Mytilus edulis: one gene and its partner. The protein of the gene in region 2 purifies or fractionates together with the protein of the main gene of each other region. This does not show direct contact. Links are inferred from orthologs where the notes say so. Each region holds a gene or a part of one and is shown on either strand. Other genes may lie near its edges.

Evidence for each region.
Region 1: the proteins of inhibitor of Bruton tyrosine kinase-like (region 2) and ribonuclease P protein subunit p25-like protein purify together in Homo sapiens (co-immunoprecipitation; 3 studies listed by BioGRID and IntAct, with this or other methods). This does not show direct contact. The link is inferred for Mytilus edulis from reciprocal best matches to the Homo sapiens genes IBTK and RPP25L.

The regions. Positions count from the first base shown.
Region 1 is NC_092345.1:96,831,465-96,839,687, forward strand, and holds the start of ribonuclease P protein subunit p25-like protein, read left to right. Parts: upstream 1-5,101; 5' UTR 5,102-5,218; intron 5,219-7,616; 5' UTR 7,617-7,625; coding exon 7,626-7,766; intron 7,767-8,223. Other genes in the region: uncharacterized protein, read right to left, coding at 1,337-4,783. UniProt on the Homo sapiens protein: May be a component of ribonuclease P or MRP.
Region 2 is NC_092353.1:20,080,237-20,088,333, forward strand, and holds the start of inhibitor of Bruton tyrosine kinase-like, read left to right. Parts: upstream 1-4,543; 5' UTR 4,544-4,709; intron 4,710-7,482; 5' UTR 7,483-7,715; coding exon 7,716-8,021; intron 8,022-8,097. UniProt on the Homo sapiens protein: Acts as an inhibitor of BTK tyrosine kinase activity, thereby playing a role in B-cell development. Down-regulates BTK kinase activity, leading to interference with BTK-mediated calcium mobilization and NF-kappa-B-driven transcription.

The DNA of each region.
Region 1 (8,223 bases), on a different chromosome or scaffold from region 2:
TTTAACCATTTTTCGTAAATCTTAGTTATCTTTGACAGAAATCTTCTCCTCTGAAACTACTGGGCCAAATTAATCCAAACTTGGCCACAATCATCTTTGGGGTATATAATTTTAAAAATGTGTCCGGTGACCCGGCCATCAAATCAAGATGGCCGCCACAGCTAAAAATAGAACATAGGGGTAAAATGCAGTTTTTGGCTTATAACTCAAAAACCAAAGCATTTAGAGCAAATCTGACATGGATAAAATTGTTTATCAGGTCAAGATCTATCTGCCCTGAAATTTTCAGATGAATCAGACAACCCGTTGTTGGGTTGCTGCCCCTGAATAGGTATTTTAAGGAAATTTTGCTGTTTTTGGTTATTATCTTGAATATTATTATAGATAGAGATAAACTGTAAACAGCAATAATGTTCAGCAAAGTAAGATTTACAAATAAGTCAACATGACCGAAATGGTCAATTGACCCCCTAAGGAGTTATTGTCCTTTTCTAGTCAATTATTAACAATTTTCATAAAATTTGTAAATTTTTATTAACATTTTCCCCTGAAACTACTGGGCCAAGTTCATTATAGATAGAGATAATTGTAAGCAGCAAGACTGTTTAGTAAAGTAAGATGTACAAACACACCACCATCACCAAAACACAATTTTGTCATGAATCCATCTGCTTCCTTTGTTTAATATTCACAAAGACCAAGGTGAGCGACACAGGCTCTTTAGAGCCTCTAGTTTTTTTTTGTATAAATGTTACTAACTCCTATATACTTAAATTATCGAGAATGCACTCACAGGTGTTTCATTTTGGGATTTGCTCCAACAGTGTTTTTTTTTGCGCTAATTTGAAACACAAATTTATTTTCGCATCCCTTTCATAAGAATTATTGTTATAATATTGAGGGGCAAAAACTAATCCACACAAAGAAAAAACTCCCCTCCAGAAAAAAGAAGAAATTGATTCCGTATATTTATATAATTTAAAAGAGTGACCAAAACTTGATAACTGGATAATTTTAAAAGTCTTATTTAGTGATGGTTTAAAAATGAATAACTATCAAATTGGGTACAGTTGTATTGTGGTACTTTCGCGTCGATGCTATAATGGTAAATTTCTGGTTATTAGATTACTCAGGTTATAAATTTTTTGTAGAACGGATTGGGATCCGAATATCAAATCAAATCAAATCAAATATGTTTATTGGATAATCAATATATATGTACAGTGCACAATTGATGTCTTCCACACAATGAACAGATATTAAAACAATTAATACAAAATAAATGCATATACATTAGAAATAATATCTGGACAGAGCTAATATAAGTTGTAAAACATTAATATAGTTGAAAAGCTTTTTCAATAAAAGTACAGATAGCTTTTGTATCAATTTTATTTAAAGGATACATAATGTTATGTAGAATAGTAGATTCCTTTTCCCTTTTATTTAAATCCGAGGGGTCGATATTTAATTTTTTGAAGAGATCTTGTCTTAAAATTGAAAACTTTTTACAGTATAAAATGAAGTGTTTTTCATCATCTAATAAATCACAAGTCTGACAAAGTCTTGAGTTATGCGGAATTTTTGGTCTATGATAACGACCTTTTTCTATTAAAAGAGAATGTGCACTAATTCTTAACTTAGTCAAATTTTTACATAGTGCTTTTGGAATATTAAAGTCAAGATATTTTTGAAGAGAAAAATTTGTGTAACAAAATGAAAAATATTTAAGCTTTGAGTCAGAATTGTAATTAGAATAATTTTGAAGCTGTTCTTTAATTAGTTGGATGGTTTGATCGTGTATTTTCAATTCTAGATTTTCATTTTCCAAATTCTTTACATCCAATTTAAATTTTTTGCAACTATAATCAATAAATGAATACCATGATTTTGACCCCTCTTTGAAAAGTCCTCTATCTACTTTATACACTTCAGCAAGAAATCTATCAGATGGAAGTTGTTGCAGTCTTATGAAATATTTAAAAGCCAATTTAGTAATAAAATTAATAATTGGTAATCTTCCTAATTCACACCTGGAGGCTAAATTTGATGCCTTTTTATGTACTCCAAGTAGATATTTACAAAATTTATTATGTATTTTTTCAAATGGTATATTATCTTTATTTAAATCTTTTAAAGTAAAATCGGATATCCAAACTTCTGATCCATAGGTTGTAATAGGTCTAATTAGAGAATCAAATAACTTTAGCTTAAGCTTGGTACCAGAGTAATTATAATCTAGAATATTTGATTTAAGACTAAATACTGCTTTAAGAGCTTTATTATACATATGTTCTGCGGCATGCTTTAAATTGCCATTAAATGAAATCAGCATTCCAAGATATTTATATTTATCGACTGTTTCTATATTTTGACCATTAATTTTAAATTTGATGGCAGATTTTTTCTTGCCCTTACTAAAAATCATAACTTTAGTTTTAGTAATATTGACTTTCAACTTCCATCTGTTACAATATATTCCCAGGCTGTCCAGACAAGCTTGTAAACCCTTTTCACTCTCTGACAGTAGAATTAAATCATCTGCATATTGTAAACAATTAAATTGTGTTGTAATGAGTGACACAGGAAATGTTTTTGAAAAATCAAATATTTTTGGCAGATCATTAGTGTATATATTAAATAACAGAGGGCTAAGACCATCACCTTGTCTAACACCCCTATTGGCTCTATGAGCTTCTGAAATAAAGTTTTCTTTTTTTACCACAAACTTTGAATTAGAGTACATATGTTTAATTATCTTATAGAAATTTCCTCCAATTTTAAGATTTAATAGTTTTTTAAGTAATCCTGAGTGCCAAACAGAGTCAAAAGCTTTAGAGAGATCTACAAAACAAGCAAAAATAGGCTTTTTTAATTTGTGTAAATATTTATTTATCAAAGTTTTAATAGTGAAAATATGATCTGCAGTTCTATAATCTGGTCTGAATCCTGCTTGAAAGGGATTATAAAGATTATTTTCTTCCATATATTTATGCAGTCTTTTCTGTAATAATGAGGTGAAAAGCTTGCCAAGACAGCTGGTAAGGCTAATACATCTATAATTATCGCATATGTTTATGTCACCATTTTTGTGTAAGAAGGAAGTACAAGATAAATTCCAAGCATCTGGAAATTTTCCGCTTGATAAAATTCTGTTAAATAAATTAACAATAGGTAAAAGTAATAGGTCTTTTCCATATAAAAGGAATTCATTATATATAAGGTCTATTCCTGGTTGTTTATTCTTCTTAAGTTTTTTAATGCCATCTCTGACTTCTTTACAAATGAATGCATAATCTAAATGTTTATTATTAATATTTTCAATTTCTATCTTCGAGATATCTAAATCAGTATTATTTTCTTCATAAAGCTTTTTTAAGTAATTTGACATTTCAGATAGAGGTATAGGATTTTCTTCTCTATTTGTATTTTTCTTCAGATTATTAATGGTTTTCCAAAATAATTTAGGGTTATCTTCATGAAGAGAATCTAATTTATCAATTATATCTGTTATAAATTTCTTTTTTGTATCTTTTAGTAATTTTTTGTACTCCCTTCTTAACTGGTGGTATGATGTTTTTAAATCATGATTATTAGGATGTTGTTGTAATCTACTTCCAAGATTGTTAAGTTCCCTTTTAAAAAATTTACAATTTCCATTAAACCATTTCTGTTTTCCTTTCTTTTTCTTTCTTTTCCCCTTGAATGGTCTAAAATTAAATGTTTTATTTGCTGAGTCTAAAATTATATTGCTCAGATTTTCAGATAAATTATTTATATCCATTTCAGGATTATTGACTTCTAGTAAAAATTGATCAATTAAAAGTTTTGAATCTTGTACGGCTTCTACAAATTTTTCTCTTGAGCCTGATTCCAAATTGTATTTACCTGGAAGAAGATCACAATCCTTAGTATTAATGTTGTTGTTAATTTGTGAGTATATATAGTTACTGTTGTTTTTTAAACCAGTCCATAATAAACTATGGTCTGAAAGCTCATTTGGTGGAAAGACATGTAAATAAACAAATTCATGAAAAATATCTTCAGAAACTAAAAAATAATCAATACTACTACTTCCTCTTGGACAGTAGTAGGTATGGAACCCCAGCGAGTCACCGTCAATTCGACCATTAAGTATTCTCATCTTTGATTCTATACAAAAATCTATTAGCATTCTTCCCTGTTCATTTATCTCAGGATCAAGGTTGTTTCTTTTGGGTAAAATTAGATCTGATGTATAATTTGTAGGTAAATTGGACTTGCCCTCAGAATTCTGGTGGTAGTCTGTCTCATCAAGTTCTATATAATCTATTAAATTAGCAGTTCTACTATTACAGTCTCCCATGATTATAACTTTACCCAATTCTGAGTATTTATTCACTAAACTAGATAATGAATCAAAAATTTTATCGTTTTCTGGACATACTGACTTTGCCCTTGGATTTATATATACACAGCCTAAAAAAATATCATGTGTAAGACCACATTTATCTTTGTCTAATTTAATAAAGATGTAGTTTTTACTTTGGGCTATTTTAATGATAGCATTACTTTTTTTGAATTCATTTTTAAAATAAAGAATGATTCCACCTGATCTTCGTCCTCTTTTACCTTTTTTCTTAATTCCAGGTTGGTGAAAGCATGTATAATTTTTAAAAGATATCGATGACTCGCCGTGGGTCCATGACTCCACTATTCCAAAAATATCAAATTTACTACAATTTATATCATTTAACTTTTGACTAGAGAAACCATTTATATTCCAGCATCCTAGCTGAAGCATTTTATGTATATATATATTAAAACATAACCACAATACTGATTTTGTGAGACCCGATGACATTGATTAGCATTTTCATTATGTATAAACAAGCATCAATCATATAAGTTGTAATGAAAGGTGTGAATTTTTTTTATATTTCACTTGTGTGTGTAAATTGTCATTAATAATATAAAGTTGCAAATGTGTGTAAAGAGGCATAACTCTGACTGTTTAAAAAAGTACTGTAATATTACAATTAAATAGGCATACCTGGTCATACATCTTGTTGTTTATTGTACACAATTATTTTTGATATTATTATCATCTAATTCTTTCAAACGTTTGACGAATTGTGAAATACACCTTATTCATTTAAAATATATTTTGACACCGAAAATATAATTTGGCATGAAGAAAGATTGAAAAATGAAATATAAGATTATGGAGAGTTAAAAGGTGAACAACAAAAAGAAAAAAATGAACAAGCAGTTATAACTCACCTACCCCAAAAATGGCATAGTAACTAAAATAAATAATTTGAACGGACAACATGGGCGATGAAATGCCTGATTTATATGTCCAACGGCTGTTTTTCCAGACAAGATGGGGCCGTAGGAATGACTGACTATAATAGCTAGAACTATACACCTTAACAAATTTTATCACTTTTCTATTGTGGCGTCAGATATTTTGTATTACAACGTCCAAATTTTACGGGAACCTGTATGTTTTTCACCGGAAAAGATGGTCAATTTCGCACACCTTTATGCCGTCATTTACCAGATAGAAGACACGCCTATGTCCCTGCTCTATTGAAACTTTCCAGCACTTTTCATAAACGTCATTATGTAGGGTAGTATAGAAATAATTAATGTTCCGTAAGTTCATAATCGTGATTGTCGTAGGACTGAGGGAGGGTGACCCTTGTCTTTTAGATTTTAATTTCCCAAATATTTAGTGCAGTATGTGATAAAACTTTTTTAATCGTTTGCTCAACATGTGTTGGAAATTTCTATGCATACATTTTTGTCACGTGGTGATGGAAGTCACATGACAGATTTGTCTGAAAACCGTATCTTGGAACTGGCCTTTAGTCTTGGGTACCAGCTTACTACAAGAACAAGGCACTAAATTAAGATTAATGCACATGTATGTTGTTCAGCTATGTACAGGTCAATGTCTTGGGACAGGCATATTCAAAATGTAGCAGGATTTAAGGATGTCTGCTGGTCATGTTTTTGAATTCTTGTCATATTTTCGATTTTCTCAGGTTTTATCCATCCAAATGTATTAAATTTTTTTTACACGACACCCCACTTTTGTCTTCATAAATCTGTTCAATAGATCATTTCAGATTTAGTGATCCGGCGGCATGAAATCCTTGTTATTTTTTCTTGGTTTAAAGGGTAAAAAACAATTCCAATGTTAACAAATAGTAAAGTCTGAAGAAAACCCTTTTCCCGCCATTTTCTAAATGTCTCGTATTTTGAAAACTACACACGAGACTAATGATTTTATTACTTTATTTTGTTTAAATATCAAAGTTGTTTTCATTTTAAGCAACCACATGAAATCCTTGTTATTTTAAATTAGAGCAGCAGACATCCTTAACATGTTTTTGGAAGCAGCAAATCATCTTTACCTGTACATGTGAGGACCATAGACAAAGATATATTTATACTTTGTCACTTGTATGCAAATTTTTCTATAAAAGCATAGTCTGACTTTTACTATTCTTGGAAGATTCTAACTTACTTTTGTCATAGCTCTGACTGTAATACTTGACCTTGTGTGTCTGTCTTGCAATTTTTATCTGACCATTTCCTGCTTCATTGGTCAGTGTTAAGTTTGTATTGCTTGTCAGTTTATCTGACAGATGATATAAGTAATACATTTAGGTCAACTACATTTGGTGTATTACATGGAATAATTGTATAATGTACATGTTGTCTGGCTTGGTTCGAACATCTGACCGTGATCTCATTTTTATGGTCCATTTGGCAATTATCAATATTCATAATTAGGTCTGTTTCTCAGATACTACATGTATAAGCAAAATGGTAACTATAATTGGTGTAATTGATTGATTGTAGTGTGTTCATGTCTGTCCAGCAGGGTTCATCTGATTTTAACCTCATTTGCATAGATCATTAATAATGTTTAGTTAATTTGAAACTTGTTCTAAGTTGTAGTACATTGTAAAATCTTTCAAAATGAATTCAATCATGGTAAAGTAAAGAAGGCGAGACATTTCCTTGTGTGCACTCTTTTTGTTAATAAAAGGTTAAAACATTTCTGATATTGATTATAGCGGTACTTTCATGCAGTTTTTCTATGAAAATGTTAACAAACACAGTTACAGTCAAGTGAAAACCAATTGTTTCCAATTTCAAGAATGATAATTTGATGGGCATTGGGGATGCCTTTCTAGTCTACATTCAGTTATTTACATGATTTAAGACATAATACTTTAAGTTATCCGCATTATCATGATTATGGCACGCATTTTCACTCAAAAAAAAATACAGTAAAAATATACCCAAAATAAAATTGAGAATGGAAATGGGGAATGTGTCATAGAGACAACAACCCGACCAAAGAGGAGAACAACCACCAAAGGCCACCATGCGTCTATAACGCCGTACTGTAAGAAAAATCTGTATTAGGAAGCAGTCTTCAAGTTCAACTGGATTTTAAATAAAAATGTGTTCTACTTGAATGAAAATGGATGTCAGACTAAACTCCAAAACAAATAAATGAACTAAAATTAAAATGATACAAGAATCACAAAGGCAATTTTAAAGATTGTATGTGAAAAACCTTTCCACTTTATTTTTATTACATTATGTTTCAGGGATGTAAAATGGAACAGTATGATAAAGGAGAAGTCAGGATGGTGGAAGCACCTTCTATCTTTAGTCTGAATGAAACTGGTATTGAAATGAAAGTTAATGCAGGAAGTAAAATACGTAATCTCATGGGATTCGCTATGAAAAAAATGAAGGTTTGTGTCAATCTATTTACATCTATATAACATTTTCAAAATACAGGTAATTTAATATAAGGTACTCCATGATCACACAGTTAGTAAACTTAGTTTTGATGAACAAAATGGTGTAGATGTCTTTAAAAGTTTTAAAAAATAGATGCACACATTAAAAAAACCAATAAGGTTTAACAAGCCTTTATTAGATGATTCATTTTGTCTAGTGTATTACAAAGAAAACCTGCTGGTGGTTTTATCAAGAATTGCAAATTTTAAATCCTTCAAGCAGCCTGTCAAATGGTTAACATATACAATGGACCCTACAAATAGTGCTGTGTTTGGTACTACTAGTCTAAATCCTTCAAGCAGCCTGTCAAATGGTTAACATGTACAATGGACCCTACAAATAGTGCTGTGTTTGGTACTACTAGTCTAAATCCTTCAAGCAGCCTGTCAAATGGTTAACATGTACAAT
Region 2 (8,097 bases):
CTTCCTGTTGAGCTTTTCTGGTTCAAAATATTCAAAATAAACACAGGGTAGGTCGAAATTTCGTCAATTTACTGAAAATCAATGTGTTTTTTGTAAAATCGGAGAATGTCATGCCATAGATATTGGAATTACAGTTTGTCTCGTGTATAACACAAATGAATATGATTTAAAATGACATCGTAATGACTTTTCTCCAGCAGGTAAATGTGGCCAGCGCAGTCGGCTATTGACAAAATGACAGTGATATCATTGATAAACTAGCATATATATTAGTAAATAAGTATTTTTCTAAAACATTATAAACATAAAATTACAGTTTGTTCTTTTTCTTTACTAATATAATTTCCTAAAGCTAAATATGTTATAAAGTATGTCATGTTGAGATTTTCTGGTATCGGTTGAGATATTCTGGAACAATGTTGAGATCTTCTGGTGAATGAAATTTTCAACTATAAAAAGAAGATGTGGTATGACTGCCAATGGGACAACTGTCCACAAGAGACCAACATGACACAGACATTGACAACTATAGGTCACCGTACGGCCTTCAACAATGAGCAAAGCCGATACCGCATAGTCAGCTATAAAAGGCCCCGATATGACAATGTAAAACAATTTAAACGAGAAAACTATAAAGACCTTATCTGTATAAAAAATAAATAAATAACGGAAAACAAATATGATTCAATATGCAGCACATAAACAAACGACAACCACTGAATTACAGGCTCCTGACTTGGGACAGGCACATACATAAATAATGTGGAGGGGTTAAACATGTTAGCGGGATCCCAACCCTCCCCCTTACCTGGAACAGTGGTATATATAACAGTACAACATAAGAACGAGCTATAAAAATCAGTTGAAAAAGGTTTAACTCATCAGATGAACAAAAATGCAATTGGACGTGGCCGGGTTCTTGAACATCCCGACAACAAAAAGACACTAGGAACAGATTTGAGAGTACTCGCAGTTATCTGACAGCTAGTTAAAAGCCATTAACAACTAATAAAAAAATCATGCATCTAAGACTAAACTATCAATCCGTACACATCAAATTAATTTAGTGTAAAGACGTCATAAACAGTCAGAGAAAAACATGACCTTGTGTAGCTTACAACTGTCAAAATTCATAAACTTGCCGTATATTGTTTGACATTTCAACAGTCATTTTAATCTTGTCTGTAGTTATGACAGCAGCTTCTAAAGAGGCCTTTGGTTGTAATAGAGTCTAAATAGTAAATAGCTGTGTTTTTTAAGTACTAGTATTAAAGTTCTAACGCTGGAGATTAATTCTAGCGTTTGAGATGCAGTTTTGCACAGAAGCTTTAACGTCAATAATGTTGTAATTGACATCTCCAGGGCTATTAATTATTTATTTATTTATGTGTTACATATTTGTTGTTCGTTCATTTTTTTTTATATTTACAAGGCCGTTAGTTTTCTCGTTACAATTGTTTTACATTGTCATTTTGGGGCCTTTTATAGCTGTCTATGCAGTATGGGCTTTGCTTATTATTGAAGGCTATACGGCGACCTCTAGTTGTTACTTTATGTGTCATTTTGGTCCCTTTTGGAGAGTTGTATCATTGGCAATCGTACCACAGAAAGAACATTGATAATAAAACGGATACATACAAATTGAAAACAAATCGCGTAAGAAAAGGCAATTATTGGTATGTTAGTTTTCTTTAGTACCATGAATATTTTTGGCTCAACTTCTCAATCATGATCAGGCAAAATTATTGGCTTTTTATTCTGACATTTTTTTTTATTCCTCTTCCGTCCCATTTTTCGGCATATAACACGTCCGTTTTATTTGGCCATTACATCACGGACTCCTAACGGATGCAAATTTTGTAAATCGAAAACTTTTGTTTATCCTTTCGACGTTCGTTCGAGCTATCTGGTAAGGTGTGACCACAGTTTTTAGCAGATATCGCATGCTTAGCATACACACAATTTTTTTTTAACTATCTCCCACAATTAAGCTACGTCGAATCCAGTTTTAAAATATTTAAAAAGAAAACTGAATTAATATTCAGAAATGGATATTCATTAAATTCTTTCATTTCATCAAAAGTTATTATTTAAAGTAGATAATTGCAAAGGAGATGTACATGCAATATAGATTACCTCTTACTGTCATAATCTGAAGGAGAACTGGAGGACAAATGTTGAACTATCTCCTGACACTTTAAGACTGTTCTAGCTTAAACAGTTCTAATCAAGAACTGATTTGGTCATTGGTAAGTTCTACCTAGAACTGATTTACACAGTTCAATCTGGAACGACAGTTCCACGGCTAAAAAAATCTACGACTAGAACAGAACTGCGACCTGATTTCGCCACGAACGCATCACGATTGTTTTGAACATGTTAAAAGTTGGCTACTCTCAACACGATCACCAAGAACTCATCAAGACCGTAACACAACCAAACTGCACTACGATCGTCAATAGCATTATTTTTTTAGAAATCGTAGTGCGAGACCTAGTGTGACGGGGCCCGGGTTATAATATAAATGTTGCTGAATATTACCAAATATTAAGGATGTGCCCTGAATGCAGTTGTAAACAAATATCTAAGTTTTAATTATTTCAATACAACACCTGTGATTACACTAAGTTGGACGTCACTTATAATAATTACAAAGCAATTTTAAAATCGTCATATTTTTTTTTTGTGATAAGTATTATAATGACAAAAATGACATCTTTTACTCACATTTAAATTATCCTCTCCCTGAAATAATGTGTAAGAAAAAATAAACCTAGAAAAGGGGTCCTGTTCGATTGTTTAGTTTTTAACTATTTTATTTCTTTATAAATGTACGCATTTTCGGCATCAAATATTGTCTGTTAGGAATCGAATTCATCCAAATCATATGAATGAATAACCATTGTAAAATAATCTTATTTATATTTGTAAGGCATGCATTTTTCTATCGGCAATGCTTAAAATTGTATCTGTATTTAGATTTTATGTTACCCTAGACAGAGAACATGAATCAGGTTAACCATAAAAAAAGGTAAACTCGAATAGTACAGCGCAACCAGAAAGTCTCAACATTGTGACAGAAAGATTCAACCAATACCTTTATATCTCAACCAATTTTAATTTTTTTATTTTTTGCTCAGAGTAGGCTTGACAAACACATATTTGTGCAATTTACAGACGTGGTTATCGTAAAGCCTAAAAAAACACAAATTATTGACATATTTTCTTGCTAAGTCATTAATATCATAGCACTTCTATCGTATTTAAAGAATGTAAACATTATAATCCGTAGGAGAAAAGTGATTGTGACTTCAATTTAAAATATTTTAAACCAAGAAGAGACATATTAGTTACAATTATGATTTGTCTATGGCATGACATTCTCCGATTTACAAAAAAAGTCGTTAATTTTCAGTAAATCGACAAAAAATCGACCTACCCTGTGTTTATTTTCAATATTTTGAACCAGAAAAGCTCAACAGGAAGTGCCAGAATACTTTTTTCCGTCTCAACCATTTGGTTGAGATTAGATTGTTGGTTTACCAGGCGTGTTAAAACACAATGTTGACTGCTGCACCCCTATCAAGTTTTGATATTTTTATCTATCTTTTTGTGTTTGTTTTGTTCACACATCGTTATCAATATAATGGAATTGTATGCGACTGTATGGTTTAATCCACCATTTATACTTCAGAAAATGCCTGAACCAAGTCATGAATATGACAGTTGTCATCCATTTATTTGGTGTTTGAAAATTTGATTTTGCCAAAAATGATTTGCTTAGGAATTTTCCGTTTCGAAATTTCCTCGGAGCTAGTTCGGTATTTTTCTTCTTTTTTAAAACTTTTTCCTGCGATTTAATTTGAATAGTCACTAGGTGCTGGGACTATTATAATATCATTAGTATAATAGTCCCAGCTAGCTGCTTTTTTTTTAACTAGCTTTCGATATAATAACTTAAGTAACAAACACAGAAAGCGCTTCTCCTGTTTCACATATATATAGAGTATTTTCCGTTTGTCCATGATGAATTCTGCCGGGGATATCGTGAGCGGCGTCACTTGTAAAATAGTTTAAAACCTTTAGACTAAAGTTGCAAAACGTAGTAATTTTTTGTCACTTTACAGTTTTTTTCTAACAAACCACCTTTTGTTGTATCATTTGAACCCATGAGTCTATGATGAATAAAAGGAGATGTGGGGTTATATGCCCATGACATAGTAACCCAGCTACAAAATTAAATAACCACAAAACCAAATTTTAACGTGTCACTATGACATGGACAAAAGTTAAAATTATTTGTTTTATGACTTCTACAGTAGTGAAATTAAAATAAAAAATACAAATACGAATTTATGTAAAAGATCAAATTTTTTTAAGGATATGAACAAAAAGTTTATTACCAGATTACAGATCCAACACAGTATATTGACCACTTGATTATCTTGTTGAAACAAAAAATCGTAAATGATTCTGTGATTACTTGGACTACCCCATGAGGGGCCTCTTTTAAGAATCGGACATATTTCCGGAACATTTCTCCAGATTTGATTTGGTTAATAAATTTGAATCGTCGTTTCCTGTTTATATTTCACCACGTCAAAAAAATAGAAATTATATAAAAATTATGTCTAAACTAAGCATAAACACCAACTTTACATACTCCCTCTACACTGTTTGCGACAATAATGTTCTGTCCTCTTGATCAGGTAATGCAAAACTCGAATGCTTTGGTTGAATTAACAAAAATATCTTGAACATGTTAACATGGTTAAGGTCACAAGAACTTTTGAAGAAGTGACATACACAGTGTTTCATACTTGTTATGCAATTTTCTTGGCATATCTCACTATGATCGGGAATATAGTGCTATGATTTGCTATAAATTTGTTCATTTATATCCATTGAATGTCTTTATAGTCAATAAAGGTAAACTTAAATAATTATATTGGTATATATACATGTACATGCAGTGCTCTAGCTAGAAATCAAAAGGGGCAGGGTGCCAGTGGAGGGCAGGGCACTTTTTATGATAAGAAAAGGCACTGCCATTTTTTTTGTCTACGTTTCTGTGTGTATCACGAGTTAACGAATCTCTTTTTTTTTTACTGTATATGTTGTTTTTTTTAAATAAAGATGCATTTTAACTATAGTCTTTATTTCATTGTTTGTGTAGTTATGAATTATATAGTACATCTTCATCAACTTATAAAAGTGTTTATAGTTTAACTTCACTCTACCCATTGTCGAAGAATTTTTTTTTTATCTTTATAAGAATTTCAGCTTTTATATGTTATTTATCTAACTTTGTAGTGTATTACTAATTTATCAATGTTTAGAACATGGATTGCTAAAAGTATAATTATCAAACAGAAATTGCAATATATTTTTTTTAATATGTTCAAAGACAGTTAATATCCTTAAGGTAACATTATTATGTTATTATATATTCAATTGGTTCTTTATTCCTTTTTTTGATACTAGATAATATTTTTAGAGCACAAATTTGTAATAAGCTAAAACAGGGGAAGTAACTCCAAAATTAATTTCCAACACGTTTGCGTTAATTAAAAACTGTGCTTGTCGCTAACAAGTTGAGATGGAAGGCATTTCTGTGAAGGCATAGTTTTATTTTGATGACTTAAATTCAATTCTAAAGTCATGAAAGTCTTCATTTATACACTCTTTCATTGTGACTTGGAAATCGAAAATGCCGACCCAACCTAAACACACTTGCTGACACGTTCATCAAAAGTATGACAAAAAGATACATTGTCCTAATTAAATTACCTAGTTATTAACACCTTTGAAGTCTTTATCATTGTAATTGATTGTAATGACATGATTAACCTGGGGGCAATCACACAGGTGTCATATATGTAATTAACTTGGAGATCAGAAATCGATGAAACAAAAAGCAATTTTACCAAAACGGCACAAGAGAATTTTGGAAAAAGACGTCAGGGCAGAAGGGCGCGGATGAAGGCACCCAGGGCGCGGCTGAGGGCACCCAGGGTGCGGCGCCCTTCTATTTTGGGCTAGCGAGACCACTGTACATGTATGTTAATAGGGGTGAGGCACTTGCAAGGCTAATATGAGGCAGGCATTACCTGTAAATGGGGACGAAGTCTGTATGAATTATTTTTTTGAACCTTAAATATTTGTTAAAAAAAAGAAACGGAAATACCGTAACGTTTCCAATTTTGGTTCTGTTGTTAGGGATTTTTAGTTGTGACGTTATTTAAGTTATGACATCATATGCAATGTAAACCAAGAAACGCTTTCATCAGGTAACGTTTTTTCATATCGAGGAATTATAAAAAAAATGAAATTGGTATTGCGTTCCTTTCTATTTTATACTAGACTGATAAATATATATTTTACTCAAAGTTTCACAAAAACGAGACCAGAAAAAGGAAGTACATTGTAGATTTCTGCGCAGATGTGGGAATTCAAAACATGACATCAAAAAAATTGAACGATTTTGAGTTCATTAGTACAATGAAAATTTTGGGAAAATTAAATTTCCTGATTTTTTTAAAATTTTTTTTTATTATTGATTTTTCTACTGTTATTGGGGACTTCGTCCCCATATAATCAGTTCATTGAGTGTGGCCAATGTATCTGGCAGAAACTATTTAGAATACAACACACCTGCTTGATATCATACTAGTATACTGGCCAGCGACCACATGTGTGATTTATGACAACTTATCGATGGGTGTGTAAATATTGACACCTTTGTGTGTTTTTAATGACTCTTTGCAAGCTTAAATTAAGGAAAATACATTTACATGGTGATTGGAATAGTACAAATTTTTATTGATTTATAATACAATACAGATTATATTATGACTTCTCTTGAACTGAAAGTGAATTTTAATATGCGTATTGTTATACGTTTACTTTTCTACATTGGCTAGAGGTATAGGTGGAGGGTTGAGATCTCATTAACATGTTTAACCCACCACAACTTTGCGCCTGTCCCAAGTCAGGAGCCTCTGGCCTTTGTTAGTCTTGTATGATTTTTAATTTTAGTTTCTTGTGTATAATTCGGAGTTTAGTATGACGTCCTTTATCACTGTACTAGTATACATACTTTTTAAGGGGCCAGCTGAAGGAAGCCTCCAGGTGCTGGAGTTTCTCGCTACATTGAAGACCCGTTTGTGGCCTTAGGCTGTTGTCAACTTTATGGTTGGGTTGTTGTCGCTTTGACACATTCCCCATTTCCTTTCTCAATTTTACAATGCAGCGTCCAACAGAATGACTTCTTACTTGAACAAGTTAATTATATATAAAATAGTATATGGCACATAATTGGAAAGCACTTGGTCAAGAGAATAAATGGTATCCAATATACAGTATACCATTCAAGGAAAATTTGTATATGAGAAGAAAATATTTTTATTTGCATCTAGAAATTGTACTGACTTTTTTATTAGTAATTACATTTCAATTAATTATTGTTTTTCTTAATTTCAGGTTAATCTTACCATTATGGCTTTTTAAACACTGACACTATGGTTGCCCTATAGTGGGCATCCAGTCTTTGGCTGGTATCCAGCTGTTAATTGGTGCTTCTTCTTAGCAAATTCTGTGCCACAAATACCAGTATTTATAACCAAGACATACAGTATTTATTTTTCTTCAGTCTACAACTATTAAGTCAACTTTCTTTTGTGATTAAAGTCAAACATTAGACTATATCTGTAAATATGGAGTGTGGGTTGAAGTGTAAATCAAAACGGCATGCATTAGAAGTCAATGCAGCCGTAACAAAGGGGCTGTTAGAAGAAATTCAAGCATACTGTAAACTTTGTTATGCTTCTACACAAGTGACAGATATTTATGGAAGGACAACCCTACATGTGGCAGCATCGTGTGGCAAGTGTGATGTGATTGAATGGTTGATGACTGATAGGAATGCTGATGCCACCCTTAAAGATGTAGAATCTGGGTGGACCGCCCTTCATAGAGCAGCTTTTTATGGACAGTTGGCAGCTTTTAGACTACTTGTGCAGGTAGTGACATCAGTTCAAATTTAAAACTTGATGTCAAGCTTTTAGAAACAAGTAATTGTAAAAATGAACCAATTTT